3 linked regions of the Rattus norvegicus genome follow. The protein of the gene in region 3 interacts with the protein of the main gene of each other region in a biochemical or structural test. Links are inferred from orthologs where the notes say so. Each region holds a gene or a part of one and is shown on either strand. Other genes may lie near its edges. The genes, in order: Cdk9, Mapk14 and Mbp.

Evidence for each region.
Region 1: of the proteins of Mbp (region 3) and Cdk9, one has a biochemical effect on the other in vitro, tested with the Homo sapiens proteins (2 studies listed by BioGRID). The link is inferred for Rattus norvegicus from reciprocal best matches to the Homo sapiens genes MBP and CDK9.
Region 2: of the proteins of Mbp (region 3) and Mapk14, one has a biochemical effect on the other in vitro, tested with the Homo sapiens proteins (4 studies listed by BioGRID). The link is inferred for Rattus norvegicus from reciprocal best matches to the Homo sapiens genes MBP and MAPK14.

The regions. Positions count from the first base shown.
Region 1 is NC_086021.1:36,392,138-36,402,615, reverse strand, and holds Cdk9 (cyclin-dependent kinase 9), read left to right. Parts: upstream 1-3,599; 5' UTR 3,600-3,643; coding exon 3,644-3,735; intron 3,736-4,183; coding exon 4,184-4,265; intron 4,266-5,579; coding exon 5,580-5,670; intron 5,671-6,048; coding exon 6,049-6,215; intron 6,216-6,326; coding exon 6,327-6,498; intron 6,499-6,655; coding exon 6,656-6,804; intron 6,805-7,570; coding exon 7,571-7,936; 3' UTR 7,937-8,448; downstream 8,449-10,478. UniProt on the Homo sapiens protein: Protein kinase involved in the regulation of transcription.
Region 2 is NC_086038.1:6,747,110-6,757,587, forward strand, and holds the start of Mapk14 (mitogen-activated protein kinase 14), read left to right. Parts: upstream 1-4,249; 5' UTR 4,250-4,569; coding exon 4,570-4,685; intron 4,686-10,478. Other genes in the region: Slc26a8 (testis anion transporter 1), read right to left, coding at 2,327-2,485. UniProt on the Homo sapiens protein: Serine/threonine kinase which acts as an essential component of the MAP kinase signal transduction pathway.
Region 3 is NC_086036.1:78,206,380-78,216,857, forward strand, and holds the start of Mbp (myelin basic protein), read left to right. Parts: upstream 1-3,942; coding exon 3,943-4,119; coding exon of another isoform or gene 4,120-4,137; exon of another isoform or gene 4,138-4,779; intron 4,780-8,033; exon of another isoform or gene 8,034-10,478. UniProt on the Homo sapiens protein: The classic group of MBP isoforms (isoform 4-isoform 14) are with PLP the most abundant protein components of the myelin membrane in the CNS. They have a role in both its formation and stabilization.

The sequences.
Region 1 (10,478 bases), on a different chromosome or scaffold from region 3:
GAGTTCCGCCGGTGGCACAAACCTTTAATTCCAGCATTCTGGGAGTAGTGGCAAGTAGAACTTTGTGAGTTCAAAGTTAGCCTAGAAAAGCACTCTGAGGCTTTCTATTTTATTTTTCTGAGACAGGTTCTTGTTATGTGAACAGCCTATCTCAAACCTACAGAAATTCCCCTGTCTCGGCCTCCTGAGTGCCGGGATTAAACATGTGTGCCATACCTGGCTTTATTTTTTTCATTCTTTAGACAAGGTCTCACCGAGGCTCTAACTGGTCGTGAACTTACTCTTTAGCCCAGACAAGCCCTGAACTTTGAACTTTCCTGCTTCCGTTTCTTTAGTAGCTGGCTTTCCAGTTTTCTGCCACTGGGCCTGGCTTCCTTAGCTCTTAAATGGCCATACAAGAGACTCCTGAGGGGTGTCATGAGGCGGCCAGTCAGCAGGTGTTGACAGAGGCCGGGTCACACGCTAGGTCTTGGTGGTTTAGGCAGTCCACAGGAAGCAGGCATTATTTGCAACCCACAAAGCAGTAGCCAAAGTGAATTTGAAACGACTAATTTCTCCCTGGTTCCCTCCTGGATTTTCCAGTGGTGGAGAACCGGGACTCCAGAACTGGGCAGCCTTCCAAAGCCTCCAGATTGCCATTGCTTCCCTGTGGAGGGGCTGAGGGCCCAGGACTCTAAGGAAGTGACTGGAAGATGTCAGGGCTCTTGTTGGTGGCAGAGGTGACAACATCACAGGAAACCCTGCGAAAGCCTCTCTGCCCACAGGATGTGACTTAGGGAGGGCTCATGAGAAACAGACACCAGCTACAGCCTAAAAATCTGATTGTAGCATCCACACAAGTCATCAGTGCTGCTGTTACCTGCCACATTCCCCAGGAGCCCAAGGCAGGTGAGAGCACTCCCAAGTTTCACCATGGTTTCATGCTGAGCCCAGACTGGGAGGGGCCTTGACATGAGGAACTGACCTGGTTCAAAGCTAGCGTGGCCACTGGCTGTCTGGGTAACCATGGCCCACTCATCTCACCTCTGAGTGTCAGGGTCCTCATGTGCAGTGGAGGTCAGAGTGGTGTCCCCTGCATCTGACTGACAACAGAAATACCTCCTGTACAGGCTGAGTGCAGGGCTAGCCACTTTCTATCATTGTAATTAGTGTAATTACTCTCTCCTTCTTACTCCTGGCTCTCCCCCACCCCCTTACTTCTTCAGATAAGCAGTGTATCCATGAAGGTAGGCTCTGGGTCACTTCCTTGGCTTGATTTCCTAAAGCCCTGGCTGGCTCTATGAAGGGTCTTGAGAAATCCTCCTGGCAGGACCCTTCTCACAGCAGGTACTCGGGGACACCAGGCTCATCAAAACCATTCCTCCTTCCAAGAACCTTCAAGCCCAGACAGTGTGGCATAAAACCAGAAAGCACTCCCAGACACAGTGACGCCTAGAGCTGAGGCAAGAGGGATGTCTGGAGTTCAAGGGTCAGCCTAGACTACTCAGTGAGCACCAGACCAGTCAGGACCTGTCTCAATCAAACAAGAGGTGAAAACAAACCGGAAGCCTGCAACTGACCCCCGAGAGTGGGGTGGCAGCTCTGAAGACAGGAGGGATCAGGGGGCTGGAGAGATGGCTCAGTGGTTAAGAGCACTGACTGCTCTTCCAGAGGTCCTGAGTTCAAATCCCAGCAACCACATGGTGGCTCACAACCATCTGTAATGGGATCTGATGCCCTCTTCTGGTGTATCTGTGTACTTAAATATAATAAATGAATAAATCTTAAAAAAAAAAAAAAAAAGAGGGATCAGGACACTGAAACAGAAGGCAGTTTGCAGGACCACAGCACAGAAGGGAAACACTGGAAAATCAGACACGCCTCACTCAGAATTTCAAATCGGTTCAGGGAGACATAACAGACTGCAGAATGATCTGGAGCAGGTTGGAATGGAACCAGTGAAACGAGGCTAGGGGAAGCAGGACTCCATCAAGGTGTCCATCCTTGAGAGGGGTGCTGACAAAAAGGAGGGGACTGAGAAGGTAAGAAGACAGCTGTGTGGACTTGTCTCCTGGGGATGGGAAGGTGATTGTGGGAAAGGATAGGCCTGGAAGGGTCTTAGGGTAACAGTGTTATCCAGCCTGTGTAAGGTCAGCAGACCTCAAACACACTAACAATGAGGCATGACAAACTCTAGAGCCAGCCTTATCATAGTGTGACCAGGAGCAGACAACCTCTGATTTCTGATCTGAGATTTCTTCTGTAAAATGGGTTCATATTTTTTTTCTGTAAAACCCAGTTCACATGTTTGTTTCAGAATGTCCAGCAGATATCTCTCTCTCTCTCTCTCTCTCTCTGTTATTATTTCCTGGTTGTCCTAGAACTCACTCTGGAGATCAGGCTAGCCTCGAACTCAGAGATCCACCTGCCTCTGCTAAGTGCTGGGATTAAAGAGGTGCGCCATCACTACCCAGCTCATGCCCAGCATTTCAAAAACGCGCAGGAGTGCCTGTTCAATTTTAACCATTTTTGGGATGATTGACGCAGGACAGACCAGCTTAGCCGCAGCTCTGTGAAGGAAGGCAGTAGATCCATCCTTGCCTTCCTGACCACACAGGATCCAGGGTTTAGGCCTGAGCGTCGCCGCGCCCCCTGGCGGCCGTCAGTTGCCATGTCAACGGCGGGTGGCTGAGACGGCGGAGGCGGCAGCGGGGGCAGTTCTCTCTTCCCCGGGCCTCAGGCCGCTCCCTCGGCACCTCCTGCCTTCGCCTCACTGGGAGCACACTCCCAGCCCTGGAAGAAGGGCCCTTCTGTGGCAGCTGGCATTAGGGGGGTAAACTGAGGCACGCAGCAGGGCGCCGCAGGCAGGTGTCTAGTGCGGAGCCCCACCTCCAAACGCAGAGGAGGGGCTGCTAGCAGTGACGCGCCGAGGGCGGACGCTGGACTGGGAGCGGGAGGGCGGGAGGCGGCGGCGGCAGGTGCGGCCGCGGAGGGTGGGAGGAGGAGGGAGGGGGCGGGAGGGGGAGGGGAGGCCAGGACGGGGACCTCCCCCTTTATAACGCGCCCCCTCCCGGGCTCTCGGGCCGCCTCCTCGTCTGCTCTTGCTATCTCGCCCCCTTTCCTGGCCGCCCCGGGCCGGGTTTGGCCAGGGAGCCCCCGCCCCCAGGCCTTCCCCACACCCCCACCCGTCGCCCCGCGCAGCCCGGCGGAGGCGGCGCCGTCGGAGGAGGAGGAGCAGGGCACTGCGGCTGGCCCCGGATCGGGAGCCAGAGCGGCAGCAGCTTCGGCAGCAGCACGGCCCGGGCCAATGCAGCGGGACGCACCGCCACGAGCCCCAGCCCCAGCGCCACGGCTCCCTGCGCCCCCGATCGGGGCCGCCAACAGCACTAGCGGCGGCGGCGCAGGCGGGGGCAGTGGCGGCGGCGGAGGCTCCTCTGCAGCTCCGGCTCCCCCTGGCCTCCCGGGAACTACAAGTCCCAGGGGGCCTGGCGGCGGGCGGAGACCGGAAGAGGCGGGCTCGGCACCTCGAGGCCGGAAGTGGCCTTGGAGGCGGAAGTGGCGCGGCCGCGGAGGGGCCTGGAGTGTGGCGGGACCGGGAGCGGCGGGAGCTGCGGCTGGGGGCGGCGGCGGCGGCGGCGGCGGCGGCGGCGCGCTGGAGGCGGCCATGGCCAAGCAGTACGACTCAGTGGAATGCCCGTTTTGCGATGAGGTCACCAAGTACGAGAAACTTGCCAAGATCGGCCAAGGCACATTCGGGTAAGATTAGGCCGCGTGGGACCGGTAGCCCAGGACCTGCACTTTCCATGGCCTATATCGGGTCGTTCAGGGCCGGGGCCCGAGGTGGTACGGAAGCTTCTATTTCCTTGATTGTTGCCTGGTCTTGCTAGGCCGCGCCGCAGACGCTCCCGGCCTAACCGAGCGGACTGGCAGGGAGGAGCCTGAGGCCCGTGATGGGGGTTGGGTAGGGTTGCTGAGAGGAACTCAGTTTGTGAGCGGACACCTCTGGGGGGAGGAGTGGGAGCCGAGTAGGAGTAAGAGCAGGGGCTGGGAGAAGGACAGAAAACACGTGGTGTGGAATAACAGCTTACAGGAGTCCCGGGCCGCACCCCACCGTGTGTCTGGTCTCCCGCTGCTCCTCTTCGCGTGGGGGAGGGGCGGTCCCTGCGGAAATGCCTGATGGGTCCCTCGGGTCTTTGTGTTGCAGGGAAGTATTTAAAGCCAAGCACCGTCAGACCGGCCAGAAGGTGGCTCTGAAGAAAGTGTTGATGGAGAATGAGAAGGAGGGGGTGAGTATATGGACCACTGGGCAGTTCTTCTAACCTGTGCTCGGTTTCCACACTGCTACTTAAAAGGGTTTTGTGCTGAGATTCCACCCAAGTATTTTTCGATTTTCCGTGTGACAAGACATTTGGCTTTCCACTTAGACTTTTGAGTTTTTGTGGCAAAGTTCGGTGGGAGGCAAGTGAGGGAGCCTGTGCTTTGCGTGAAAGTGCACGTTGCCTCTAGAAGTGGGGTTTTTGAAAACTTCCAGCTTAGCGTCGAATTTTGTTTTGTACGAAGGGACAATTTGTGCACAGGCAATTTAAAAGGCAGCTTAGCTTAAGGCGTGTTTTGAAGCATGATGTCCCCGTCTTAGCTTTAGTACAGCGTTTTCTTTGTAAGGAAAAAGCTGTTTGACTATTTCCTGTCTATGCGTGTCTTGTTTTCTGGTGTGGCTGTGTACAGCATGCCTGTCTGGTACCTGGGCACCTGAGGAGACCATGCTAGGCTGCCTTGGATCACTTGGGACTAGAATTAAAAAGATCCACCATGTAGAGGCTGGGATTGAACCTAGGTCCTCCGGAAGAACAGCCAGTGTTGTATGTGTGTGTGCATGCATATGTGTATGTCTCCCTGAAATAGGGACTCAACATAAGACTTGTTTAATACAAAAATCTCTCAGTATCCCAGCTGTTCTCAGACTCGCAGAGGGTCAACTGCCTGTGCCCGGAGTGCTGGGAATAAAGGCTTGGGCTGCCACTCTTAGCCAGGACTGGTTTGCTTAACTATTCATCTATCTCTGGACCCAGGGAATTTCTTGATTTTAACCCACAAGCATTAGTGCCAAAGATTTTGTCCCTATTTGAGTTGTCTAAAATAAATTCCTGGCCCAGCGTAGAGGGCTATGATTGTAGTTCCAGCATTTACGAGGCCAAAGAAAAAGGATGGTTCACAAGTCCAAAGCCGCCATTGTCTAGATGGCAAAATCTAGCAGCTCCTTGAGTGAGATGTGTGTGTCCTTTCACTTACCTTCTGCTTTACAGAGACTGGTTGCAGATAAATATATTTATTTTCCCCTCAAGCAAGAGCTCAACTAACCAGACTGGCCTTGAACTTGGGACAGTTCTACTCTCTATTTGACTCCTGATAGTAGGATTGGATTCCAGACAGGAACCGTCTGTCACACAAAAACTATACTCTTACCTGCCTTTCAACCTCTGTCCCTCAGTATAGATCACACACACACACACACACACACACACACACACACACACACACACTTTTACTTCATGGGTCTGTTGCTCTCAATTTTGACCACTTCCTCTCTTTCTCCTCCCTAGTTCCCCATCACAGCCTTGCGGGAAATCAAGATTCTACAGCTCCTAAAGCACGAGAATGTGGTCAACCTGATTGAGATTTGTCGAACCAAAGGTACGATGCTCGTTCTCGGGATAAAATGAACCTTAAACCTTTGCTTGCACTCCTGAGGTAAATGTGCTTAATGCCTCCTCCTGACTTGACTTGATCACACAGCTTCCCGATCTGTTTTGTTTTGAGACAGGGTTGCCCTGTGTAGCCCTGGCTGTCCTTGACCTTGCTCCATAGACCAGGCTAGCCTCACACTGCCTCTGCCTCCCTAGTGCTAGGGCTAAAGGCATGCACCACCAGTGACTGACCACCAGCTTCTCCGGGCTTTCTCCGATGGAGTTGGGTGTTTGTGGATTGGAGGGCTGGGAGTTGGCTGTGGAAAATGAGGTGGGTGCAGGTTTTTTATTTTCCCTCCCACCCTCTCTCCCTATTCTGCACCAGCTTCACCCTATAACCGCTGCAAAGGCAGCATCTATCTGGTGTTCGACTTCTGTGAGCATGACCTCGCTGGGCTGCTGAGCAATGTCTTAGTGAAGTTCACGTTGTCTGAGATCAAGAGAGTAATGCAGATGCTGCTGAATGGCCTCTACTACATCCACAGGAACAAGGTGAGGCCTGGGGCCGGGACAGACTGGGGCTTCTTTGCTCTTCACTGCCTTGTGGGTGGGTCTCTGGGATACTATGAGACCTGACCGAGCTCTCATGCGTCCTCCCTGCAGATCCTGCACAGGGACATGAAGGCTGCCAACGTGCTCATTACCCGAGATGGGGTCCTAAAGCTGGCAGATTTTGGGCTGGCTCGCGCCTTCAGCCTAGCTAAGAATAGCCAGCCCAACCGATACACCAACCGTGTGGTGACATTGTGGTACCGACCTCCGGAGCTCCTGCTCGGTGAGGACTCCCGAGCGGGCAGAGGGGGGCAGGGGCCGGGTACTTACCTGGCCACAGCCCCCGTTGCCGGGGGCCTCTTTAGCCATCAGCCTTGGGACCTGGAGTCTCAGGAGGCCCTCGGGCTTAAGAGGCACTCCCGGTACCCTCTTCTTCTCAGGAGAGCGGGACTACGGCCCGCCCATTGACCTGTGGGGTGCTGGGTGCATCATGGCAGAGATGTGGACCCGCAGCCCCATCATGCAGGGCAACACAGAGCAGCACCAGCTTGCCCTCATCAGCCAGCTCTGTGGCTCCATCACTCCAGAGGTACGTGACCAAACTGGGTGATCCTAGGGGGCCTGCAGTGGAGAGGAATCTGATTGGTGGGAAGCCATAGGCCTGCTGTCCAGGGTCTTGTGGGTGCTTCTCCCTCCTAAGCCTGTTGGTTTTGTGGGCTCTCTGTTTCTGTGGCAGAGTACCTGAGCAAAGCAAAAGCGCCAAGATTTGCCTTTGTTGAGAAACTTCAGCCTGTGGTTGTTTAGCCTTTGCTTTGGTGCAGAGACGTTGCTAAGTGTCACAGCAGAGAGTCCACTGGAGAGAGTAGGTGTGGTCATGGCAGGGAAGAGCAGAAGAGCAGGGTCCAGTGTGCAGCTCCAGGGGTGTTAAGCCCACTGACTTAACACTAGGCTTCAGCACACATTCAGCGAGCCTCAGAGGATACTTTTTCCCTCTTGGGTTGTCCCCTTCCCCTCTCCCCCCAAGTTTCCACCTCCCAATAGCGTCACCAGCAGGAGATCAAGCTTCAACACAAGCTTTTAGAGACAAAAGTACCATGAGATTTTTGTTTTGTTTTAAGATAGGAGTGTGCGTGAACAGGGCCTGGCATCTTTATTCTAGCTGACTTGTGTAAGCTGTCCAGATGCTAGGAGTATACTACATCCAGTGACTGCTGCTTTCAACTTGAAGACTTCTGATTCTCCTTGCAATGGAGAGGAAGTCAGGGAGCCTCTGAGAGAAGTTCTTTTAGAAATCCAATCCCCTGGTGTCTTAGCATTCTTCCCTCCAACTCCACTCTCTCCTTAACGTCTCTTAGGTGTGGCCAAACGTGGACAAGTATGAGCTGTTCGAAAAGCTGGAACTGGTCAAGGGCCAGAAGCGGAAGGTGAAGGACCGTCTGAAGGCCTACGTCCGGGACCCCTATGCTCTGGACCTCATTGACAAGCTGCTGGTGCTGGACCCTGCACAGCGGATTGACAGTGATGATGCCCTCAACCATGACTTCTTCTGGTCGGACCCCATGCCCTCGGACCTCAAGGGCATGCTGTCTACTCACTTGACGTCTATGTTTGAGTACCTGGCCCCACCACGACGGAAGGGTAGCCAGATCACCCAGCAGTCCACCAACCAGAGCCGAAATCCCGCCACTACCAACCAGACGGAATTTGAACGTGTCTTCTGAGGCTGTCGCTGGCCGGTGTTCTTAGGTTAGGGGTGGATTGCTTCTGCTCTGACTTGCATGAACATGTGACATGATGGGACGTTTGAGATTTTCTCCTCCAGTACATATCAACTCCACCCTGGCGCTGGGAACAGCTGCCTGAGTGGACTGGGGCAGAGCATTGGCTGCAAGCCCTGAGGGTCCTGGGGCTGTCCTGCCTGCCTCTCTCTGGAGGTCTCAGCATGGATACGAAGTGGGGTGGGAGAAGCTCACCCACTGTGACTTTTAAGAACTCCTGTGTGATGGGAGGAAGGTACAGGTTCCTCACCATCCCCAGCCCTTCCTCTGGATGAGGATGTGAAGGACAGAGGCATCTCCAAAATGGGCTACTTTTGGTATAGACCTTAGGAGTGTGGGGCTGGTGTAAGCTCTTGGTTCCTTTAAAAGGAGAATTTTATTTTGTTTTGTTCAGTTTAGACATTCCTGGATGCAGTTTGATTGGTTAAATTAAAAGTTGATTTTTTTTTCCAGTACATGCCTGTGTTTCTTGTGTTCAGACCCTCCCTCGGTTCTTGTCCTACAGCTAGAGGCTAGGGTGTGGTCAGCCAGGATACTGCTGGTCCTGCTTCCTTACCACCTAATACTCTGTAGATGTTGGGGTTTGCCCTCCATTCCTCCTGGTACCTTCCACTGCACTCCTCACCCCCAGAAGGCAGGTCCACAGGGCCCAGTGTTGGGAAGTGTCTGTTGTAAGCTGCAGCCTCAGTGAGCTGCTGGGCCTGGGCTGCTTAGGTTCATAAATCCTCAGACTGGACTGAAGCAGGGAACTGCAGACCTCCAAATCACTGCAGTGACAGGAGTGACTAGTGTAGCTTGTAGCTCCAAGGCTTGGGGGAAGCAGGACAGAAGTGACCAGAGCAGGCAGGGTCAAGGTGGGGGTGGGGGGGTGGGTTATAGCATGGGTTAGGGTGACAGTGAGGGCAAGAAGGAAGGCCAGTGTGGAGATGGGATAAGGACATGGTAGGGACCCTTAGAGGACTAACCTAGGTGACAGATTACCCAAGAGTTTAGTGAGGTTCAGTAACATCACAAAGCTGTCTGAGAAGGGCAGTGTTAGTCCATTAGCTCCGGGAGCTGAGCGTCCAGAATTCATGGCGGATTGGCAGAGTTGCTTCCTCTGGAGTTCTCTGGGACAGTCGATCTTCAGGTCTCTCCAGCTCTGGTAGCTGACACAGCTTGGCCTGAAGATTTTGTATTCTTTTTTTCCTTGCATGTCTGTACACTGTGTATCCCTGGTACCCAGGGAAGCTAGAGAGGAGTGATGCCCCTGGAGCTGCCACACATGCTGGGAACTGAGCGGGGTCCTTTGGAATTGCAGCTGGGGCTTTTTTTTTTTTTTTTTTCCTTCGGAGCTGGGGACCGAACCCAGGGCCTTGCGCTTCTTAGGCAAGCGCTCTACCGCTGAGCTAAATCCCCAACCCCGCAGCTGGGGCTTTTAACCACTCAGCCATCTCTCAGCCCTTCCAGACAAGTGGTCATTAGCTCGGATGTCCAGAACTGCAGATCTCCCTGCTTCCTCCTTTAGGGAGATAGGATTACAGGTGTGTACCACCATTTGCATGGCAATCTTGATTCTGAAAAGCATTCCTTATCGTTTTTGTTTCTTTGTCTATGAGGACATCCATTGTTGGGTTCATAGCCCCCCCCATAACCCCCTCTTAATCAGTCTGCAGAAACCTTCCCGCCCATGGCCCTGCCCACTCTGGTCGCATTCCTAGAACGTGATTGGAGAGGACATCATTCAACCTGCTATAACTAGAAGTTAGGACAGTCTTTGTGGCTACCAGGGGGTTCTCAAATGCCCAGTGACAGGAAGACAAACTAATAGAACTGTTCTGTTTCAGAATCTCTTCCCTCAAGTATTCAAGGGATTCATCCCTTTGCTAGAGATTGGACCCAGGACATGCAAGTGCTCTACCACTGAGCCACGCCCAATCTCGGTTTGTAGTCACTGATTCCTCAGAAGCTTCCTGGAAGTCACTGCGTATGATAGATCTATTGTTGGATTCAGTCCTCCCCACAGCCTACACGACTCTCCAGTCACCATTTTGGTGTGTTTCATTTTTCTAGTAGGTTCCAATTACTCTGATGGAGTAGGATCTATTAAAAATCAGCAAAGGGTGGGGGAGATGGCCCAGTCAGTAACGCGCTTGCTTCACAAACACTGGGGCTGAGTTTGACCCTCATCACCTACATAAAGGACAAGCTGCGTGAGCACAGTGGTTCCTTTTAAGCACTAAGGAGGTGAAAGGGGGGTTCTGTGGCTTTCTGGCCAGGTACCCAGGCTGAATAGGTAATTTCCAGGTTCACTCTGGTATCCACACACTTGCACACACATACACATGAGCATTCTACATACAAGCATGCGTGTGAACATTTGCATTCATTACAAAGTCATGGCCTCAAAATGCAGAAAGAGGAACGAGCAGAGTAGCTGAGGACATTGGGGTAGGCAGGCGTGGAAACAAAGGCCTCAGGATGATGAGGCTGGAGCGATCACTGT
Region 2 (10,478 bases), on a different chromosome or scaffold from region 3:
GTCTCCCTGGATCTGACGCTCTCCTCTGACCTCTGCATGCACCAGGCATGTACACGTGCACAGACTAAGAGATAAAGCATTCTGACCACTTTCCTCCTCAGTGCTAAAGGTTCAGGGCGAAGTCATCTCCCAACTCCTCCTTGGAATGCAGCAGGGAAGACACCAGCATCTCCCCAGTGCAGAGCCTGAGGGGGGAGGGAGGGGAGGGGGGAGGGAGGGGAGGACCACCCGTGGTTAGCCCCCACCCCTCCCCAGGCTTTACACTGGGGAGGCGCAGGCATCTTCCTCTCTGACAGGTGTAAGGAGTTCCTCAGTGAGCCACAGTGAGTCAGCACGGCCACAATTCAGGCCCTATCCCCTGTAAAACAGGTTCCTGTCTTAAAATCACATGACCTAGAGAAACACCAAGGACCCCAGCCTGGGGAAAGGTCAACTCCTGGAGAAGGTGGGCTGAGACACGTGGGGGGGGGGGAAGACTAGGTATTTCAGGGACAGGATTCAACACAATTAGAGATGATATAAGAAAAATAATTAAAAACATCTGAGTGACATCAACTTTAAACTGAGAGAAGGGAGGAGGGGGAGAGAGAAAGGGGCAAAGGAGGGGGGAAAGGAGGGGGGAAAGAAGAGGGAGGTTTAAAAGTGATCCTAGAGGAGGGCTGGTGAGCCAGCTCTGCCTGCCAGCAAGCCTAACAGCCCTGGGACCCACAAGGTGAAAGGAGAGAAACCGACTTCCACAAGTAGTCCTTGGACCTGCACCGGGCAGTGTGGCCTGCATCGATGACCACACACACAAAATAAACAAACTTTAAAAACAAAAGCCTGTTCCTAAAGGGAGCCGAGTGTGGTTGCACAAGCCTGTACCCTTGGCACTTGGGACACGAGGCGGGAGGATCAGGGAGGGTTCAAGCCTCTGTTACACATCCAGCTTGAGGTAAACCCAAGCTGTATGAGATTCTCTATCAAGGCAAACAAACAAAACCACAAACCAAATAAAAATCATCTCCTGAGTAACTATTTCTGGGGCAGTCCAAAGTGTGTTAAGAAGCTGGGGAAGCCTAGTGAAGTGTTGTACACCTTGAATCCCAGCACTCCAGGGACAGAGGCAGGCGGATCTCTGAGTGCTGGGCTGACAGCCACAGTGAGAGCCTGTCTAAAACACAGAAAGAGAAGCAGCAGCGGAGAACTGGGGCCCTGACCAGAGCAGCACGAAGGGTGCCACAGTGTACACCACTCATCTTTCTTGTCTGCTGTTGATTTTGAGACAGGATCTCATGGAGCATAGCGGGCTTTGACATCGCCTTCCTCCTGCCCCCGTCTACCCAGTGCTGGGTTATAGGTGTTGAAAGAGCCGTATCTCTCGCTCCATGAGCAACCTTTATGAAACTCTAGTTCTACATACAGTGTGTGCCACCACACATGCCTTAATTCTTTTGTTTTTTTCCTTCCTGCGCTGGAAATCCATCTGAGGGCCTAACATGAAAGGCTGCTGTCTTCTGAGCTGTAGTCCCTGTCTTTATCTCCCTCTGCTAAAAATACTCGAAAATAGAAGCATGTTAACCCAGCTCTTTCACTACTGCTGCCTTCAGCCATCCACCTGTCCATCTGTCTGTCCGTCATTTATCCATTTGCAGATCATTTACAGAATCTCTAATTGGAATATTTTACATGCAAAAAAATGTAACTTGATTTATAAAATGTTGACCCAACGGGCAGGAAACCCAGAAAATTAGTTAAGGTGCAAGAATTTTTTTTTTTACCTGATTTAAGTCCTCTTTCACGTGCTTCCTAAAACCATAAAACAAAACTCACTTCCAACTAAAGCCCTCCTTAATGCTATACAGCATGATACCAAGGGGCTGTGTTGGAGAGACATTCATGACTGGCTTGAGGGAGGACCCAAACCACAGTCCCTAAGGACCAGAAGACACAGAAGGGGGCGGAGGGGGGTAGGGTTCAGCCAGAGAAAACAAAATGAGCAAAACAGTAAGGGTAAGCAAAAGGGGCTCTGAGCCTAGGACACGATAGGGTGGAAGTGTGGCAAGGCCCACAGTCCAGTCCCTTCAGCTGCTGATAACACAGGGGCGAGTTTGAAAGGATCCAGTGTGCAAAGACCATCTTGTCTCTTGCCAGTGCTGTCTCTCACGCAGCCTCTCTATAGGAGACACAAGTTCCAGGGACCACCGCCATTCATTCATTTATTCATTCACTCATTCATTCCAGGGACCACCGCCATTCACTCATTCACCCACTAGTGCTTGGGACTCTCCTAGCTCTGCAGGTGACCCAAGCAGCCATGCTACGGGAGGCGGCAGGCAGGGCTCACCTGGTTTCCGGTGACCGGCAGGAGCGCAGACGCTGGGGACAGACTCGGCTCCAGCCTGGCTGGCGGCGGTGCTGCGGACGCAGAGGCCGGCAGTTCCCGAGCCGTTGCTGCAGAACCCGCCGGCGTTCCGGCTGTGCGGGTGACGGGCGAGGACGGCATCTGGGCGAGGAGAAGGGGTCTCTGGCTGCCCTCCACAGACCTGGGCCGGGACCCTTCGGATCTTCCAGAAACAGGCACGAGAATAGGAGTTCCCGGTCCTCCTGCTCCGCGTAGGGGTGGGTGGATGTGAGTTCTTACGGGTCTAACTTTCCCCGTTCACTTTTATTATCTTTTTCTCGGCTTCTACGGAAGATTCCACTAGGTGGGAATGGAGGGCTGGGTTTCCCTCGTGGAGACTAGAACCGGGGCCTAAGGAAGCTCAACAGACTTGTCTTAATAAATGTCCGAAGCCCTCGTCGTTTCCCCAAACTTCCAAAGGCGTGGATTCTTTAAATTTCTCATGAATTATGTCTTTAAAATCCTCTCAATTTAAGTTCTTTTTTTTTTTTCTTCTTTTTTTTTTTTTTTTTAAAGATTTATTTAGCCGTCTTCAGGCACACCAGAAGAGGGCATCAGATCTCATTACAGATGGTTGTGAGCCACCATGTGGTTGTTGGGAATTGAACTCAGGACCTCTGGAAGAGCAGTCAGTGCTCTTAACCACCGAGCCATCTCTCCAGCTCCCTCAATTTAAGTTCTTAAAATTCTCCCAATTTTTCCTTTAAATTTCTAAATTTTGGATGGTTCTAAATTGGCAGGAGTCGGTCTCGAACCGGAGTCATGGGCTTTGGGGTGTTCCAGATATGGTCTCATAACAGCCCAGGCAGGTCTCTTAACTACTCACTATATAGCAGAGGCTGGTCTCCTGGTCTTTCCAAACGCTGGAATTACAGGCTACGTAAATCTAAATAAATACATCAAATATATGAGAAGGGTCTCTTGGTCTTTCCAGATGCTAGAATCACAGGCTGTATAAATCTAAATAATTCAGTAAATAAATAAAATCAAATACATGAGACGGGTCTCCTGGTCTTTCCAAACGCTGGCATTACAGGATGTGTACATCTAAATAAGTAAAATAAATGAGAAACTTTCCTGAAATGGAATGACCTACCTGCAGAGAGAGAGAGAGAGAGAGAGAGAGAGAGAGAGTGTGTTTCCCTTCCAGTCATGGGTATCGAACCCAGGGCCTTGCAAACGCAGGTCTCAGCCTCAAAGTGGCCATTCCTGACGTCCACCTCTGACCTTGTGCATCGGACTCCCTAGTGGGTCCCTGGAACCTCCTCCTACACCTTCCACGGTGGTTCTTCTGGTGAGGACATTTAGAAGCTGCTAGGAGCGTCCGGCGGGAGGGAGAGCCTGGGCTTTGAGACCGGGTTAATGTTTGCCTGGGTGGGGAGGGGGACAGGTTTCATCAGCGTCCCGAGATAAGCCACGCGTCCTTGAGCGGATGGGAACGCAACAGCTTTCTGGACAGGGCCAGTCTGCTCTTGCAAATCTTTCTTGGAAATCGCCGGCTCCGGTGAGCAGGTGGCTCGGAGCTCAAAGACCGCTTGGCTCTCTTTCCCCCCCCCGACGCCGTCCCAGTGGTTTTCCGCCACGGCGCCGGGCATTCGCCGGTCCGACCACAGAGAGGCGCGCGCGGCCTACGCTGCGGTCCGCCCCCACCCTCGGCGCCCCCCGGGAGCAGAGTCTCCCCTAGAGTTCCTGCCTCAGCTCCCGGAGCCGTGTCTCTCTTCTCGCGAGATCTTCCCGTCCCGCGCGCTCTTCTCGAGCACCCCCGCCCCACGGGCAGGTTCCATATTGGGTAAGATCTCGGCTCGCGGAGCTGTTCTCGCGAGAGTCCTGCTAGAGCCTCCCCGGCCGCTGCCTGCGGGGAGAGGGGGGAGATCGCGGCCACTGGAGCCCGAGCGGGCGCTAGAGCGCGAGCGGCTGTCGCGCAGCGTCGGCGTGCGCTCCCCAGGGAGCGGCTGCAAGGGGACCGCGGCGGGAGCTGCGTCGAACCGTGCAGCCGGCTCCCGCTCGTTGCCGAGGCTCGTAGGTGCCGCCGCGGCTGACAGGAGCCGTGGGTCGCAGCCTCCACACCTGCGCGGGCGCGGGGTCGGGTCTGCCGCGGGCGAGCGAGAGGGCGCAGAGGAGAGCGTGCGGCTGCAGGCAGGGGCCCTCGCTCGGCCACCTCGTCGCCGCGCTGCCGCCGCTGGAAGATGTCGCAGGAGAGGCCCACGTTCTACCGGCAGGAGCTGAACAAGACCGTCTGGGAGGTGCCCGAGCGATACCAGAACCTGTCCCCGGTGGGCTCGGGAGCCTACGGCTCGGTGTGGTGAGTGTCGCCGGGCTTGGGGTTGGGGGCGGGGGTGGGAGGGAACGTGGTGGAGCAAGCAGGGTGGCCCTGCATGCCTGAGCGCCAGGCCTGTCCCCACAGCTCAGCGATGCGCCCAGCGGCAGGAATTCTCCTGCGGGCGTGTCTTGGGGGTGCAGGGGGCAGTTGGAGCGGGACGTGTCCTGCACCCCTCGCCCTGCACACTCAGGTGGGTGGGGAACCGTGTGCGGGATCGGGTCAGCCGTGGGCGCGGTGTGATGGGGCTCCACCCTGTGCTCTCCATGCTCGCAAGATCGTTCCTCCCGGGGGTCCCTCTGCAGCCGTGCGGCCTCTGGACCCTGCCTCCGGGTACCGCCACTTGGCACGCAGGAGCCCTGCCCCGGGGAGCGGGCGAGCTGGGCGCAGCTCCGGCGAGGAGCAGTAGGTCAAAGCCTGACCCGGGGACTGCGGTCACCTGAACGAAACTTGCAAGAAAAAGCGCTCCCTTTCCCGGAATTTTTTTTTCTCTTTCTCAGTTTTTCCCTCCCATTTAACCATTTTTGCAAGCTTCGGTCGAAAAACCCAGAATCGGGAAACGTTCTTTTGGGATTCGCACCTGAATTAGCAGCACCCCGAAGGGCTTAAAATAATACCGACTTTATCTCGGGGACCGCGGGGTGCCAGCTTGCCGTGGTGTGTTTCCGATTCGGTTGAAAGCGTATTTCCTTTTCGGGGAGGGAGGGTGGCAGTGCCTGCAAGGACGCTCCAGCTCTCAGCTTAGTCACACAGCGCTGCTCAGTTCAGTATTGTTTGACAAAACCAGTTTTCCATACGGAGCCAGAGTGGTTCTGATCTGTTGGGCGCCCCTCAAAGATCAAAAAGGTGGGACCGAGTGCTGGAGTTGTAAATGGTTTTTAATTGGGATGCTTTTCTTTCTTTAAGCCCCTTAGAAGATTTGCAGGGGGCTTTAAGCTTGTAAGCACCGAGGCACATGGGGGTTTTTCGGGAGAACCTGGCCGCAGAAAACGATGCCTTTCAGCTTTCATTAACACTTCGGCTTTTTGTTTGAGTTCGTTTGAGACAGAGTCTCACTATGGATGGCCCTGTCTGGCCTGAGCCTCAGTGGCTAGACCAAAGCCTGGCCTGGAACTCAACAAATTTTGTCTCCTGCCAGCGCTGAGAATAAAGGCATTTGCTACCACACAAGGCCCTGGGAGCAGGTTTCAGATTAAATTTATACAGTCAAAGGTCCACTCCAGAAATGTCAGGGACTTTCAAGGATTCATATAGTCTCATTTATTGGGACTCAGTGTCAGTTTAGACCTCCCTATCTGAAAGTAAAGACCAGACTCAACAGACTAGACTCTTCTGCGTTTTAGTGATTTATATTCACGTTTCCCTGAAAGAGCCTGTGAAATGTTTTTTTTCCCCCCCTTTGGAACAAATTCTAGGCTTCTGGATGTGTTAATCTTTAAGTATGAATCCTGTGTTACTTAAAGTCACATCGTGAATTTCCTGTTTGGTAGAATCTTCCTGGTAATTGCGATTGTGCAACCATGTCCGGCAACAGATCATATTGCGTTTGCTCGTTGGAGCTGCCTAGGCTGTGCTGCTGATAGCACCAGCCCTGACCTCTTTCCCCCAAGTTTACAGACTGGCAGTTTGCATTTTAAAGGGGATGTCAATAATTTACATCCCGTGTTTGTGATTGGTTTGTTTCTCTAGTACTCACCAGCTCCCTCAGTATCTCCAGTCTTCATTGCTCACTGTTACAGCATCAGGCTTTTGTCCCCATTTGGATGCTTGGGAAGGATGGAGCAGAACTCAGGGCTTCTGGGAGAGGGAACTTGCAGGGTTTCCTAGGGCCACTGCTGCCCTGGCAGAAGAGCCAGCTTTACAGTGACTTGCCACAGTGAAACCAACACCACTTCCTCTAGTGCTGTTACTTTCTTGCAATGGGATTGAGCACAGCCTCCCAATGAGATAGACTTCTACCAAACAGTTTCTTTTTTTTTTTTTTGGTTCTTTTTTTCGGAGCTGGGGACCGAACCCAGGGCCTTGCGCTTCCTAGGTAAGCGCTCTACCACTGAGCTAAATCCCCAGCCCTTACCAAACAGTTTCTTGAACATAGGTAGTGCTGGCCTAGTGATGTAACCATGGCACAGTCCTGGCCTTACACTGCAGCAGTGCACAGCACAAAGCAGGTCGCTTGAAATAAGGGTCAAAGAGGTCTGCAGCAAAAAAAAACAAAACAAAAAAGAAAAAACCCTGCTTTCAGCCCTGCCTTCTAGTCTGTCAGTTCCTTGCCTGTCTTCCAGAGACACAGACATTTTTTTTTTAAATTTTTAACATTTATTTATTTATTATGTATACATCATACAGCTTTCTGCCTGCATGTATGCACCTGCAGGCCAGAAGAGGGCACCAGACCTGATTATAGATGGTTGTGAGCCACCATGTGGTTGCTGGGAATTGAACTCAGTACCTCTGGAAGAGCAGACAGTGCTCTCAACCACTGAGCCATCTCTCCAGCCCCCAGGGATTTTTTTTTTTAAAGATTTGTGTATGTGTTACATATGAGTACACTGTCTTCAGACAGACCAGAAGATGGTATTGGATTCCCTTACAGATGGTTGTGAGCCACCATGTGGTCACTGGGAATTGAACTCAGGACCTCTGGAAGAGCAGTCAGTGCTCTCAACCACTGAGCCATCTCTCCAGCCCACTGAGCCATCTCTCCAGCCCCAGACATTCTACCTTAGAGATTTATGTAGCCTATCCATGAGGGAAAGATAACTGAAACTGTCTGTGACTGAGCAAATGTCACCTCCAGTCAGATGTATAGGCGTTACCGCTCTCGGGTTACTTGAAATTGTTTTCAATTAGCAGCTTTTTAGATGCATCTGAAAAGCACCTTTTGGTTTGTTTGTTTGTTTGTTGGCTGTTGTTTTTGAGATGGGCTGTCCTATAATTCACATTGTAGACCAGGCTGGCCTCCAACGCAGATCAGCTGGCCTCTGTCTCCCAGAGTGCTGCAGTTAAAGGTATGCAAGACTATACCTGGCTTCTTGGATTTCTTTTTTAATCCACTTTGAGGCCTGTGTTCCCTTTCTTCTTCATCCTCTGAGATGTTGGAGAATAATGAAGTCCACTTGAATGGAGATAATAGAGGGGGATTTAGACTGAAGTCTTGAGGAGAGAGAAGGCTGTCCTACTGCCGACTGTAATAAGTTGTGAGGGACCTGAGGTCTCTTCAAGAAAGGAATCCCTGAATGGGACATGATATACAGTGATTTGTAACTTTCTTTTTTAAGATTATTGGTTTTTTTTTTTTTTTTTTTTCTTTTCTTTTTTTCGGAGCTGGGGACCGAACCCAGGGCCTTGTGGTTGCTAGGCAAGCACTCTACCGCTGAGCCAAATCCCCAACCCCGATTATTGTTATTTTTATTTGTAGTATTTAGTGAACAACGGTAAAAAGAAACAACAAGAGATAAACTGTAGTGTTACCAACTGTAAATCAGAGATGAATAAGTCAATCAGTCTGGAAATGTGAGAATTGGTATGGTTTGACAAATATCTTTCTTTTTAAAAGTGTAAAGGGAACTAAGCTAAGTTCTCCAAGTTTTAAGGAACTTTATTCACTGCCTGAAAAGGGAAACAGGCGTTAAAGACCACATTGTTGCAAAGCATTGATTGTGTGGTTTGGGGCATGGGGAAAATCTTTGTGGTGAATGTAAGGAAACTCAAACAGGAACGTGAGTGCCTCCTCTGGGGAGGCCTCTCTCCAGCCCCTGGCTGGGCCCACTTGAACCCATGCCTTGGGAGTGAGCGTTAAGAATTACTTCTAGGTCATCCATAGCCATTTAGTCATTAGTGTGTACCGCACACCACCAAGTAGTGGCTGGGTTCTTGAGATGAGTACAGAACAAGACAGCTCATCTTGTCGTTGGACGTGTAGGAGAATGGATGGGTTTAATAGCTGCCTTTTATGGGTGGCTTACTGTGTTGTAGACATGGTGACCCATAGTTTATAATCGGCATGTAAACATGTAACAAACCTGTAGCTAAACATGGTAATTTCTTCTAAGAAACTAAATCTGATTTAGCATAGGACAAGATTATTCCAGTAAATATAACAAAAATAAACGAGGCCTTTTCTTTTTTTTTAGTGTTAATTTATTTTAATGAGCTAGGGTAAAAAGAAAACTCTGTGATTAAGTATGAAAAGATGACCTTTTTCACTCTTGACGATTGAGAAGGCTGCACCTTCACTATTAGCTGTAACACTCGCTGGGCTCTCTCCCTCCCCTTCCTGCCTGTCTTCCTGCTTTCCTTCATGACAGCTTGTTGGTCCTGAACTCCTGACCCACTGTCTGAGGCGCTCTAATGCTAGGATCACAGGAGTGGGCCACCAGGCTGCTTTCAGCTGAGCTGTCTTCCATTTACTGTCTTTGGAACTAAAAGTAGACAACTTAGCTGGGTGTTACCAGCCTAAATAAGAAACACGTAAATACAAATAACTCCCAGCCATGAGTTTGAGACCAGCCTGGCCTCCAGAGTGAGCGCAGTGCCCTATCTTGAGAAAAACAATAAATAGACAAAAGTGCCCAGAAAACATGATTACTGGCAAGAGGGTGGGGGGTATTTAGCTTTATTTATTGTTATTTGTGTGATTGTTTGATTTGAATTATCTCTACACTACAGTGTGCTTGGTGCCTCGGAGGACAGAAGGGGGCATTGGATCCTCTGGAATGGGGTTACAGATGGTTGTGGCCACCAGAAGACCTTGCCAGTGCTTATAACCACTGAGCATCTCTTCCCCAGTTACTGCAAGGGTTTGTATGGATAGAGGAGAAAGAGACTAACTTAAGAGTTGAATTCCGTTTCCCACTCACAGTGATCACTGCCCCAGGCCTCTCAGTTCTGCCACTTGCAGTTTTGAATATTCTGTTTTGACTTCTCTTTAATTCAGCCTCAGAGATGATCTGAGTCGGCTTTGCCTTCTGTGGGCAATGTTGGCAATTGTGCTAGACCCCTAAAGCTTAGTTAGGGCTCAAATGTCGAGGAATCCTGGGCTCAGTCACTTTAGTATTAACTGGCATTTTAATGTGATTTTTTTTTAAGTTTATCAATGATTTTCATTTAAAGCATTATCAATTACTCCCTTTCCAGCTCCACGTAGGCAGGTTTTACTCCTCTCTCCTCCTTTTGCCTCGTTACTGATTGAGCCCAGGGACTGGTGCATATCCAATGAGCTGCACTCCAGCCCCGAGGCTGGCATTTTTAGCCTAGTTCAGTAGATGAGCTGGGCTTATTTAAAGGAGTTACATGCTGTCAGAGCTGTTGTGGTTTAGTAGTACAGGGTCCCAGCACTTGAGTCGCTCCTGGTGTGGCTGCTGAAGTTGTGTGTGACAGCTTTTGTACAGTCCTTTGCAGTGTCACTGTGTAGCTAATCTAACCCATTAGAGTCATGCTCTCCCTCAGAACTGATGAATTGAAAATGAAGTTAATGGGGGTTGGGGATTTAGCTCAGTGGTAGAGCGCTTGCCTAGGAAGCACAAGGCCCTGGGTTCGGTCCCCAGCTCCAAAAAAAAAAAAAAAAAAAAAGAACCAAAAAAAAAAAAAAAAAAAAAGAAAATGAAGTTAATGACCAGATGAATTTTTTTCCTGAAAAACTAGGTAGTTCAGATAGATGGCTTCTGGATTTATGAATACCATCCATTTTGAATTTATCAGTATATATTTATGGAAACTTAAGACCAACCATATTGGTGTTGCTGAGTACAGTGTATAAAAATGAAATTACAGAAAGAA
Region 3 (10,478 bases):
TCCTTCTGTGTGAGAACTTGACACAAAGCGCAGATGGAGAAGCAGGAGGCCTGTGCTGCACATCTAACTGTGTCCTATCTTCCTCCGTGAGTGCACACACTCGAGTTTGATGCTCACCAAGTCTATACTCGACTGGTATGAATCACGTGTCAGCTATACTAGCCCCAAAGAGCAACTGCTGAGAGCAAACAGGAGAGCCCTGCCAGGAGAGCCCGGCTACAGACTTGTCCTGGTTACCACCAAGATTTTAAGGATCGTGAATGACAGAGAGTCATTCTCAGGAAGTGTACCTCTTCCAGAACTATTTAAAAACCCAGTGTGCCCCCAGATCACTTTCTGCAGTGGTTGGTTATCTTGTTGCCCAGACAAAATACCCAACCCAGGGAACTTAAGGAGGAGAGGGTTTATTCTGGGCCACACTTGGAAGGTACAGTCACCGTGAGAAAAGAGTGGCTGTAAGAACGAGTCTGCGCGTCACAGCGCACACGCAGTCAGAAGCGGAGAGACAGACAGACAGACAGACAGACAGACAGACAGACAGAGAAAGACAAAGAGAGAGGGGGACACTGCTTGGCTTGCTTTCTCCAGTGTATTCATTCGAGGTTCCTAGCTGATGGAGCTTTATCACTGCATCTTCCCTCTGCAATTAACCTAATCTAGAAACTACACACATGTCCATAGGCCCATCTCCTGGGTGATTCTACTCGTCTCCTAGGTGATTCTAGTCATCTCCTGGGTGATTCTAATTGTCTCCTAGGTGATTCTAGTCATCTCCTAGGTGATTCTACTCGTCTCCTAGGTGATTCTAGTCATCTCCTGGGTGATTCTAATTGTCTCCTAGGTGATTCTAGTCATCTCCTAGGTGATTCTAGTCATCTCCTAGGTGATCTAATTGTCTCCTAGGTGATTCTAGTTGTGTTTCTATTCGTCTCCTAGGTGACTGTAGTCGTCTCCTGGGTGATTCTGCACATTGATAATGAACTTCAGCCAGTCACATCTCAACTCAAACAAAGACCCTCACAGGGACCATTCAGAGTAAAGCCTTATTAATCTTTATCTCATTAGTATGTTCATATTATCTAGCTTACAGAAGTTGTGCATCAAGGCTGTGGGTCCTTCACCAGGCCCGAGGCCATCTATCTCTGGAGCTCTGCTGGCCAGCTGGGCCCTGTGAGGTGGATGGAGAGATGGGTGTCAGGCTTGTGTGCAGCATTCCCTTCTTGAGAGGTAGCATGCACACAGTCTGACTGGAACGAACACCTTCTTTTGGGGAATCTGGAACCTTCGACCTCGACAGGCAGGAAGTCTGAGGGACAAGCCCCATCCCCAATACCCCAAGGACAAAACACCAAACAGTGACTTGGCAAGTGGCATTGCACGTGTGTGGCTGTGAACTTGCTATCAGATGGATTATAGCTCCCCCACCAACTGTGGTCACATCTGCTTCTTGTTGGGCTGGGCTCCATCCTCACCATGACAAACTGGGGCTATCAGTGGAGTTCTCCACGTCCTGTGGGCAGTTCTGATGATTCGTGGGGTGCTCACGATGCCCTGATAGTTACCAGAAAACACCTTAAAGGAAAGTGTCTACCACAGCCACCTTGTTTCACCCCTCTTGGCCTCTTCCTTCGCTCTGCCTCCCCAGAGTATAAACCTGGAGAGTCTGGGAGACTGCCTGCCCCCTCATCCTGGCCCAGGCACCATGTCATGTAAGAGTCTCTATGGTCTGAACTCTTGAGTTACCCAATTCTCTCTGCTCATCCGTGCTTAGGGTCTTCCCTGGATCAGCCCTCCTGCAGCTTGGATTTACTACCTCTGCCCTTTCCAAAATCAACTTTCAGCAGACAGTGACCCCATTCTGCCTTCAATCCCCCTGCCTCCTGAATTCCATCTCCCAGGACAGAGTAGCTCAGAACCTGCAGCTCCTTCCTGCTTAGGCCTCCAGGGTGTATCTGCCCTGTCACTCCAGCCTCTTTCCTCGGGCTCTAGACTGTCCATCAGCACGGGTGACCTCCCAGGGCCTTCTTGTTGGCATCTCACCTGCTGTCTGTGTTCAGTCCCCAGGGGAGAGAGCACACACATGCTACCTGACACATTACTGCACTGTGACATCCAGTGACTCAGCTGTGGAAGTCAGGAATCCAGAACTGAACTGTCTGAGAGCCGCAGGGTTCGTGAGTCCAGTCTATGGCTCCTACCTGCAGGTGGTGCCAGCATTCCTTGCTGCCCTGTGGCTGTGGTTGTGTCTCTGACTCTCCTCTGCCTTCCACATTCCTTCTCTAATATCAAGTCTCTGTGTCTCAGTTTCCCTCTCTCACAAGAACCCCAGCTGCAGGATTGCACCCACCATACTACCCATGAGCCCGCCATCTTCACCGGATCACTTCTGCAAAGACTCTATTTCCAGTCAAAGTCACAGTCACAGGCAGAGAGAGGGCTGGGATGTGAAAACATCAATTGGGGGAGGGGCGCTCAATTCTTAGCATACATTTTCTTCATCTGATCCCCCCCCCCCAGTAGAATGTAAGTTTCGTGAGAAAAGGGACCAGGTCTTGTTCATCACTATGGCTCTAACATTTAGAGAAATGCGTTCCTCCTATTCAACAAGTAACCGACAGTGGGTAGATAGAGGACCAGCACTGCATAGTCCCATGCATGGGTGCATAGTCCCATGCATGGGTTCATGTGTGCATGGATTGTTGGGCAGAATAGATAAAGAAGTGGATAGATGAATAATGTCAGGTAAATACTGCTGGGTGGACAGATGGATGGGTAAGTGGGTAGATGGATGGACAGACAGACAGATGGTAGGTGGATGGATGAATAGAATAGACAGAATAAGGATGCATGGATAAGGTGAACAGATGATGGGTAGACTGGAAGGATGGTCAGTAGGGAGAGGGTTAAATAAACGGACAAAATATTATAGGAAAGTGTGAGCTAACCAAATTTCTACAGGTCAGTAATAGAGTTGGGAGAGGAGGTTAAATTACATTCGTTTAAACCTCACACTAAGTTGAGAGGGAATGGACTTGCGGCCGTCGGTGAGAACATTGCATTTTCCATGTGCTCGGTAGTGAAGTGCCCAGGTCCCACGTGAAGCAATCTGGTTACCATGACTTGCAAGGGAGCCAGATCCAAATGCCCTGAATAAGCAGTTCCCGGAGCCAGAGCCTCCAGCGGAATCCGGGAGAGAGGAATGCTCAGTGCCCTGCTTCCCTGGACTGTAAGTTGCAGAAAGATGTGGGAAGTTCTGTTCTCCACTGAGAACACTAAAAGCACCTTTTGTCAAACAACGGCTTCACATCTGGGGCTTGTGCACCAGTGGTCTTTTAGACAGTGAGCAGCCCACAAGATACCTAACCTGCGGGGCTCTCTGGTACAGTGAGCAACTCAGGAAATGTTTTTGCTTCATTGCTGCGGGCTCTCAGGTCATCGCTCTCTGGAGTGGTTCTTTTGATAAGGATCTGAAGACAGCCCCTGAGCCACGTATACCAAGCAAGCTCAATACGGGTTAGCTCCCTTTGGTTGAGGCTATTCAAAGTGCTACGAGGCTCCTTGGGCCCTGCGCATATCTGTGCGTTTTATAGGAGACAGCTAGTTCAAGACCCCAGGAAGAAAGCGGCTTTGTCCCTCTCGAGGCCTCGCACAGGCCCACATTCATATCTCATTGTTGTTGCAGGGGAGGCAGATGCGATCCAGAACAATGGGACCTCGGCCGAGGACACAGCGGTGACAGACTCCAAGCACACAGCAGACCCAAAGAATAACTGGCAGGGTGCCCACCCAGCTGACCCAGGGAACCGCCCCCACTTGATCCGCCTCTTTTCCCGAGATGCCCCGGGAAGGGAGGACAACACCTTCAAAGACAGGCCCTCAGAGTCCGACGAGCTTCAGACCATCCAAGAAGATCCCACAGCAGCTTCCGAAGGCCTGGATGTGATGGCATCACAGAAGAGACCCTCACAGCGACACGGATCCAAGTACTTGGCCACAGCAAGTACCATGGACCATGCCCGGCATGGCTTCCTCCCAAGGCACAGAGACACGGGCATCCTTGACTCCATCGGGCGCTTCTTTAGCGGTGACAGGGGTGCGCCCAAGCGGGGCTCTGGCAAGGTGAGCTCCGAGGCGTAGAGGAACTATGGGTTTAACTGGCAGAAAGGAAGGAGAGGTGGGCAGGTGAACTGGGCCAGTCACCATGGCTGGCATGTCCCTGTGTCTGAGATACTGGCCCTGATTGGACAGTGGTGATGGCCTGGGGGAGTGGGCGAGGAGTGGGCGTGGTCGCCACTTAGCCTATGTCAACCCGTATTGCTACCTTTGTCCTTCTCACAAGGGACTGCGATTGGGTGTCACTCTGAAATGCAAGGGCCTTCTGCATCCTAAATTTTGAGGCTCCCTGGATGAGTCATTGAGACTACTGGTTCTTAAGTGTATATGCCCTATGCCTGGGGCTTCAGCCTATTCCGCCTCTGCACAGTGCTTCCCGTTTCGATCCTGATTTGTGTTCATTCTCTGCTGGGTTCAGGCTGCTAATTTCTTGCCGCTGTGAAACAATGGTCCGGTTGAGGCAAGGAGGTCTGCCGAGCAAACCCCTGCACCTCCAACAAACTTTCCCCTTTGTCTTAAGTCGTTTGGTTGGGGGGCGGGGGGGTGTTTGAATGTATGTTCAAGACAATTTGTTTGTGTGTGATTCCATTAATTTAAATATAACTTGGGTTTCATGATGTTTCGAAAGCAAATATCCTGTGAATTAAAATGTATCAGAAGATAAAACGGTGCAGGTGGTCCAGTTTCCAAGGGCAACATCTGGGGTGGACTATGCATTAGCCTGTGGGTTCAGGTTTGTGACACCAGTAACTAGTGTCAGGTGGCTGCCACCTTGAAAGTGCATGGCATCTTCTATGACTCTGTTGGATGGCCGAGCAACTCTTGGGAGAGATGTGGAACAAAGCCCTGGTTTGTGAGTAGCCTCACAGCCTGGGGATTTTTCTGTCTCTTAAGTTGTGTCTGTGTTCAAAGCCCTGGAGAACTCAAGAGGCTTTTGACTGAAGTGTGGGGCAGAGGCCTCTCCACGGCTCTAAAGCCATTGCCAGTGCAGTTTCTGAAATGCTGTCGTCTCCAGCCTCACCTTTGAGAGTGGAGATGGTTGTGAACTGCTGGATTCAATGACAGCTCTTCTGCCCTGTGGCCATCAGAGCCCCTTGGTGTCTCAGCAGCAGTCTGGCCCTCACCTGGATGTCACCGCAACTTGACTGTCACTAACACTCGGTGTGTCTAACTTGTTAACAGAATTCAAGCTGCACCAGGTCCCTTCACAGTCTGTACTTAAAGGTGTTGCCTTCAGCCTGAGACAGCAATCTTGTTTCCAATGCTAATTTACATGACAGTGGCTTTTCAAGCTGTCTTAGGGCGCTTGAGGGCTAGAGGCTCCTGACTGCCCCCCTCAGGTCTATCTGTGTAACCACACATGCACACAGCCTCACCCAGTCCATGTAGCTGGAGGAACAGGACTTAAAACTGGGTAGGAAAGACGAAATAGCTACAGGGCACAGATTCTAGAACCAGTCTTGAGGTCATGGTTCAAGTTGAAACACTGTAACGGGTTTATGTGTTGCTCCATGGCTCTCCCAGAGGGTACAGATGTGCCTCTCCATCCGCTGCTTTTCCAAGAAAAAGAAGAAATTCAAAACTCAGAAGCAGTCCAAATATTCGCCATATATAAATACATATAATTTTTTAAATTGAGATTTTTTTGAAACTTCAAGTGTCAATTTTTTGTACCATGACTGTGCTTTTTGAATATGAAGGATTATTTAAATGAATAGCCTTCATAGCAAAAAAAAAAAAAAAAGTCCCTCGGTGTTTGCATGTGTGGTCCTTATGGTCTCGTTATTATTAGCGTTTTAATTAGCATATGAAATAGGGTTATGGCATTTCCGTACAGAGTTTGTGTTGATGCTCCCCTGTGCCTCCCGCAGCTTGTTCCAAGCATAACCAAAGGTGCTTTCCTCTGGGAAGCTCCCTGCCCAGGACACAGCAAGGGTCAAGCCTTGGTGTCCAAGCCTCTTTGATTGTGGGTCCTTGGTTGTTTAGCATTGGTGAAGGAGGCTTAACTCACTCTACACCTGGCTATAAATCACAATCCCCAGAGAAGCTGCCAGGGGCAGTTACTGCCCTGGGATGTCAGGAGCATCTGTTCTATTTGTAGTTTGATGTTTGTAGAGGGGGGGGGGCAGGGCTTGCTTTCCTATACTACAGAGGTCCTTAAGAATGTTGCAAAGAATAGAGTCCAAAGGCTAGCGTCACTTGTGATGAAAGCCTGCACCCTTGATGTTATTCTAAGATAGGCATCTAACATGCATGCAGGGTGCTTGGGTAGCAGTACAAGTGCCAGCACCTGCCACTTAGAGATGCAGCTGTGTCACCTGTGTGGAAAAGGGTCCCCAAATAGAACCTGGGAGACTCTGAACCCCCTCCCTTACCCTGCAATGTAAGGTCATGTTGTCTCCTGCATCCTCCCTCCCCGGGGCACGTGGTACCTCCGTGCCATGCAGAGTCACCACCCCCAGCTCCCAGAATGCAGGGACAACACCCAGCCTTTGTGCGTTTTCCAGGCTGACATTCAAAGGCAGCACATGAAGAATGCCCTGAGAAGGCATATTCTTCTGAGACCCGTGGTGAAAAGTCCATTAACAGAGAGCATTCTCCTTTGTCCTGGGAGGAAAGGGGGGCTGTGCTGTGGGGAGGCTGTGCTCTGGCCTCTCAGGAACAGGGTTCAGGCCTTCCGAGGCTGTGAGGAGGTGGCTTTGAGGAAAAGAACAAAGACACCTGCTCTGACCCCGTCACCTTGCACCAGTGCCAGGCCCAGTCCTAGGGTAGTCCCCAGGCCTGCAAGCCATTATCTCAGAACACAAACCATAGAAAGGTTCCTCTTCCCACCAAGAGCAAGTAGCATCTCACTGGGGACCTAAGCTGATCTTGTAGTGTCACACAGGTGCCACAAGAAGGCATCTTCCATTCTCCCGGGAGGGGAGCTCTATACCTGCATTTTTTTTTCTTCTTTTTGGAGCTGAGGACCAAACCCAGGACCTTGAGCTTACTAGGCAAGCGCTCTACCACTGAGCTAAATCCCCAACCCCCATACCTGCATTTTAAATCTCTATTTATTTTACCTGAAATCTTCATTTCTAACCTGTTATAGCAGGCACCTCAATCAGTGTTCAGATGACTGCTCTGCCTCTAATTTTGACAGGATGAGATTAAGATGTTTCCCGCCACTAAGTACTGAATGTGGCAAACCCTTTAAATTAGCTAGAACGTCTTTTTTTTCCCCCGGATACTTCTCATGGCATCCTAAGCTTTATCAGATGTATCTCTTCTCTACAATACATTTAGTCTTCACTGAAGGTTGCAGATAGACTCGCCATCCATCCCGTGGAAAGGGGACATTAGAGGCCACATGAAGGACACAGCGGAAGTGCCCAAGTAATACTCCCAGGGTTCCAGTGCAGTGCCACCATCAGAGAAAGAAGTTTTGGTCATTACCTTCTGCTAACGGAGAGCTCAGGGGTCCAGGCAGAAGCAAAGAGAACGGGGACCCACATACCACTCTGCCTCTAATCCATTTGGCCAGAGTTTCCCAGAGACTCTCTGGAGAAAGTCAGCCTTGCGATGGGCACACTGACATCTGCGTCTGGGTCCTAGTTCACGCTTTTGAGACTTTTCGTATGAACCGCGTTGTAGAATACCCTTGCTTGGTCAGTTACTGGTCCCTGGTATCTAACCGTGCCTTTCTGCTGCCCCGGTTGGTCGGCACAGCCCTCCGCTGATACTTAAGTAGGAATGTGATGGGCGTTGTAAGCGTGGGAAACTATGTAAATTGTGTTTGTATTTAATGATGATCCCCTTAGGTGGTTGTACTGCAGTTTGATCATGTTGTAAACTCCCGCATAAGATAAATGTATATCTGCTTTTGTACGCTCATTAAATATTTTAACAGACCAAAGATGGTGTACTAATTGCACGTGGACTTTTTAAGTTGTATTTTTATTTCCTTAATGGCTCTGTGAGACTGGCTTTTCCATGGCTTTGAGAAACACCTACAGGTAAGTCTGGGCACTTAAGCTCTCGCCACCTCTGAAAACAGCACAGCCCCGAGTCCTCTGTCTCCACCACAGACTCGGGGTGGTCTCTCAGCATGGTGGCGCGGCATCTCACTCTTCCCCTTCCCACAGGCCCCTGTGTTTCTTGCAGTGCTCAAGGAGTGTCCAAGGAGTTGTCCTGGGTTGGTTCCTTAGTGTCCACACAGCGGAAGTGCCCAAGTAATACTCCCAGGGTTCCAGTGCAGTGCCACCATCAGAGAAAGAGGTTTTGGTCATTACCTTCTGCTAACGGGGTGTGTGGACACAAAGGAACCAACCCAGGGCACCCAGCAAACAGCTACTGAGTACCTCACTTTTCTGTTGCTGTGATGAAGTGTCCTTAGTAAAGCAACTTAAGGAAGGAAGAGTTGCTTCAGCTCACGCTTCCACCAAATAGCACACCGTGGCAGCAGGAGCCTGCGGCAGACAGAATCAGAGACTTCTTTGTATTCAGTCCAGAACACCAGCCCAGCAAACCTCTGTAGGGTGGGTCTTAACACCTCAATTAATCCTATCAAGATAGTCCCTTATAAACCCAGAGGCGTGTCTCTTTGGTGATTCTAGATTGTGTCTGGCTGGCAGTGTTAGCCATCACACGCACCATGGCCGCCCTCCTGGGCTCCCCAGGGAGGGTGTGTTCATAGGGTGACAAGGTTCCTTCCTCTGGACTGGGAGGGAGGTAGGCTCCTCTTCGGGTGATGCTGGAGGAACCTAGAAGGCCGACAAGTGAGAGATAAAAGCAAAGACCCAGTGAATTCGAATGTGGCCTGTGTGGCATCTCCTCCTGCTTTTAAACCCACTCCACTTTAAGGGATTTATTTCCTAATCATTAGGACTCCTTTCCAGGGAGGTGGGGATGGGAGAGATCAGCCAGCTGGTGACGAGAAGCTCTGACTGGTTGATGAAAAGTACAGCTTGACATCTGAAGGAACAGATCATTGTAGGGAAAATAATCCCTCTTGGAAGTCATGCTGCAAGCCACTGAGATGCCAAGACACTGGCTCAGGACTTAAGAACGACTGGACACGGCCATCGAACCATGGCTTAATATTTTATCTTGAGGTCGCTTTGTTTCTCTGTTGGGTCTTTTGCCACACTCTCTATTTTTGCTTGCTTGTTTGTTTATGAATAGAAAAGGCAGAGGGAGACTGAGGTGTCCCTAGGGCACCCCTAAATGTGGCTCAATGCCTGTGTATCTCCCTAAAGGGTGTTCTTGCCCCGCCCCTGTCACCCCTTCCAACCTGCAGGTCGGCCTTAGCCTTGGAAGCAGCTGCTTCTCAGTCAGTCGAAGCCATTTTACTTCTGTCACCTTGACATGAAGCATAGACCCTTATGAACCTGCATGGCCAGGAGAAGGCTCACCATTGTTATCGGACCCTGTGTGGGAGTGGTGACGTCAGGGTACAGATAAGCACACTTCTGTAAGTGTCGCTAGGTCATACTTTCTTACAGCCATGCTCTGTTGCTCCTTCAACCTCTGTGTAGCCCAGGTTTGCTCAGTCACTCTCCCTGGCTCAGTCAAGGGGTCCCTCTTCATGGGGACAGCCGAGTCTGCCCAGGAGGTTTACTATAACTCAGTTACTCACTCTCTCAGCTCTAGGTGCAGGAGATTTAAGTCGCCAGGACTTCTTGCTAGTATAGAAGCTGCCTCTCTTGTATGGTGAGGACTCTTGTTTGTGAGACAGCAGGTCACCTGAGCGCAGGTCACCTCTGCCCTTCCACTCCCGCCCCTGCTGTGTTGACTTTCAGTGGGACTTGTAGATGGACGAGTGAGTCACGCTATAGTCACCTTGCACGACACCCTGCCCATGGTTAAGGAGACCACTTATCTGCAACAGAGCGAGAGTCTGGAACCTTGTGGAGGAATGGTCTCTCTTGGCTGATCACTATGAACTCCCCTGTTCTTCTCTCTCCCCTCCCCCCACCCCATTCTCTCCCACTCCCCGTCTTTCACTCCCTGCTTCTCTCCTGATTGTTTCGATGTGAACAGTCAAAAAGAGACACCTCCTTTGGGCCATTTGTCCGGACGCTCTGATTCTGTTCTCTTGAGGCTTACTCGAACGTCCTTGACGTCTACACGCCCTCTCATAGCTTACAGGATACTCTAAATCAGGAGTAAATGCCACACCACGAGAAGTGTAAGAGGTACAGTCGAGGCTAACACAACCCGTGCCGGGGGAATAAGCAAGCCTATGCGTATGGAGCCCTGAGTTGAGTTCACCAACGAGAAAGAATATGGGCTAGAAAATCTCACTCCGTGTGACCTCAGGAGGGACCCTGAGTACTGCAGCTCCTGAAATCATTTCCCTGAACTCTAGAAGCCTTGAGAAG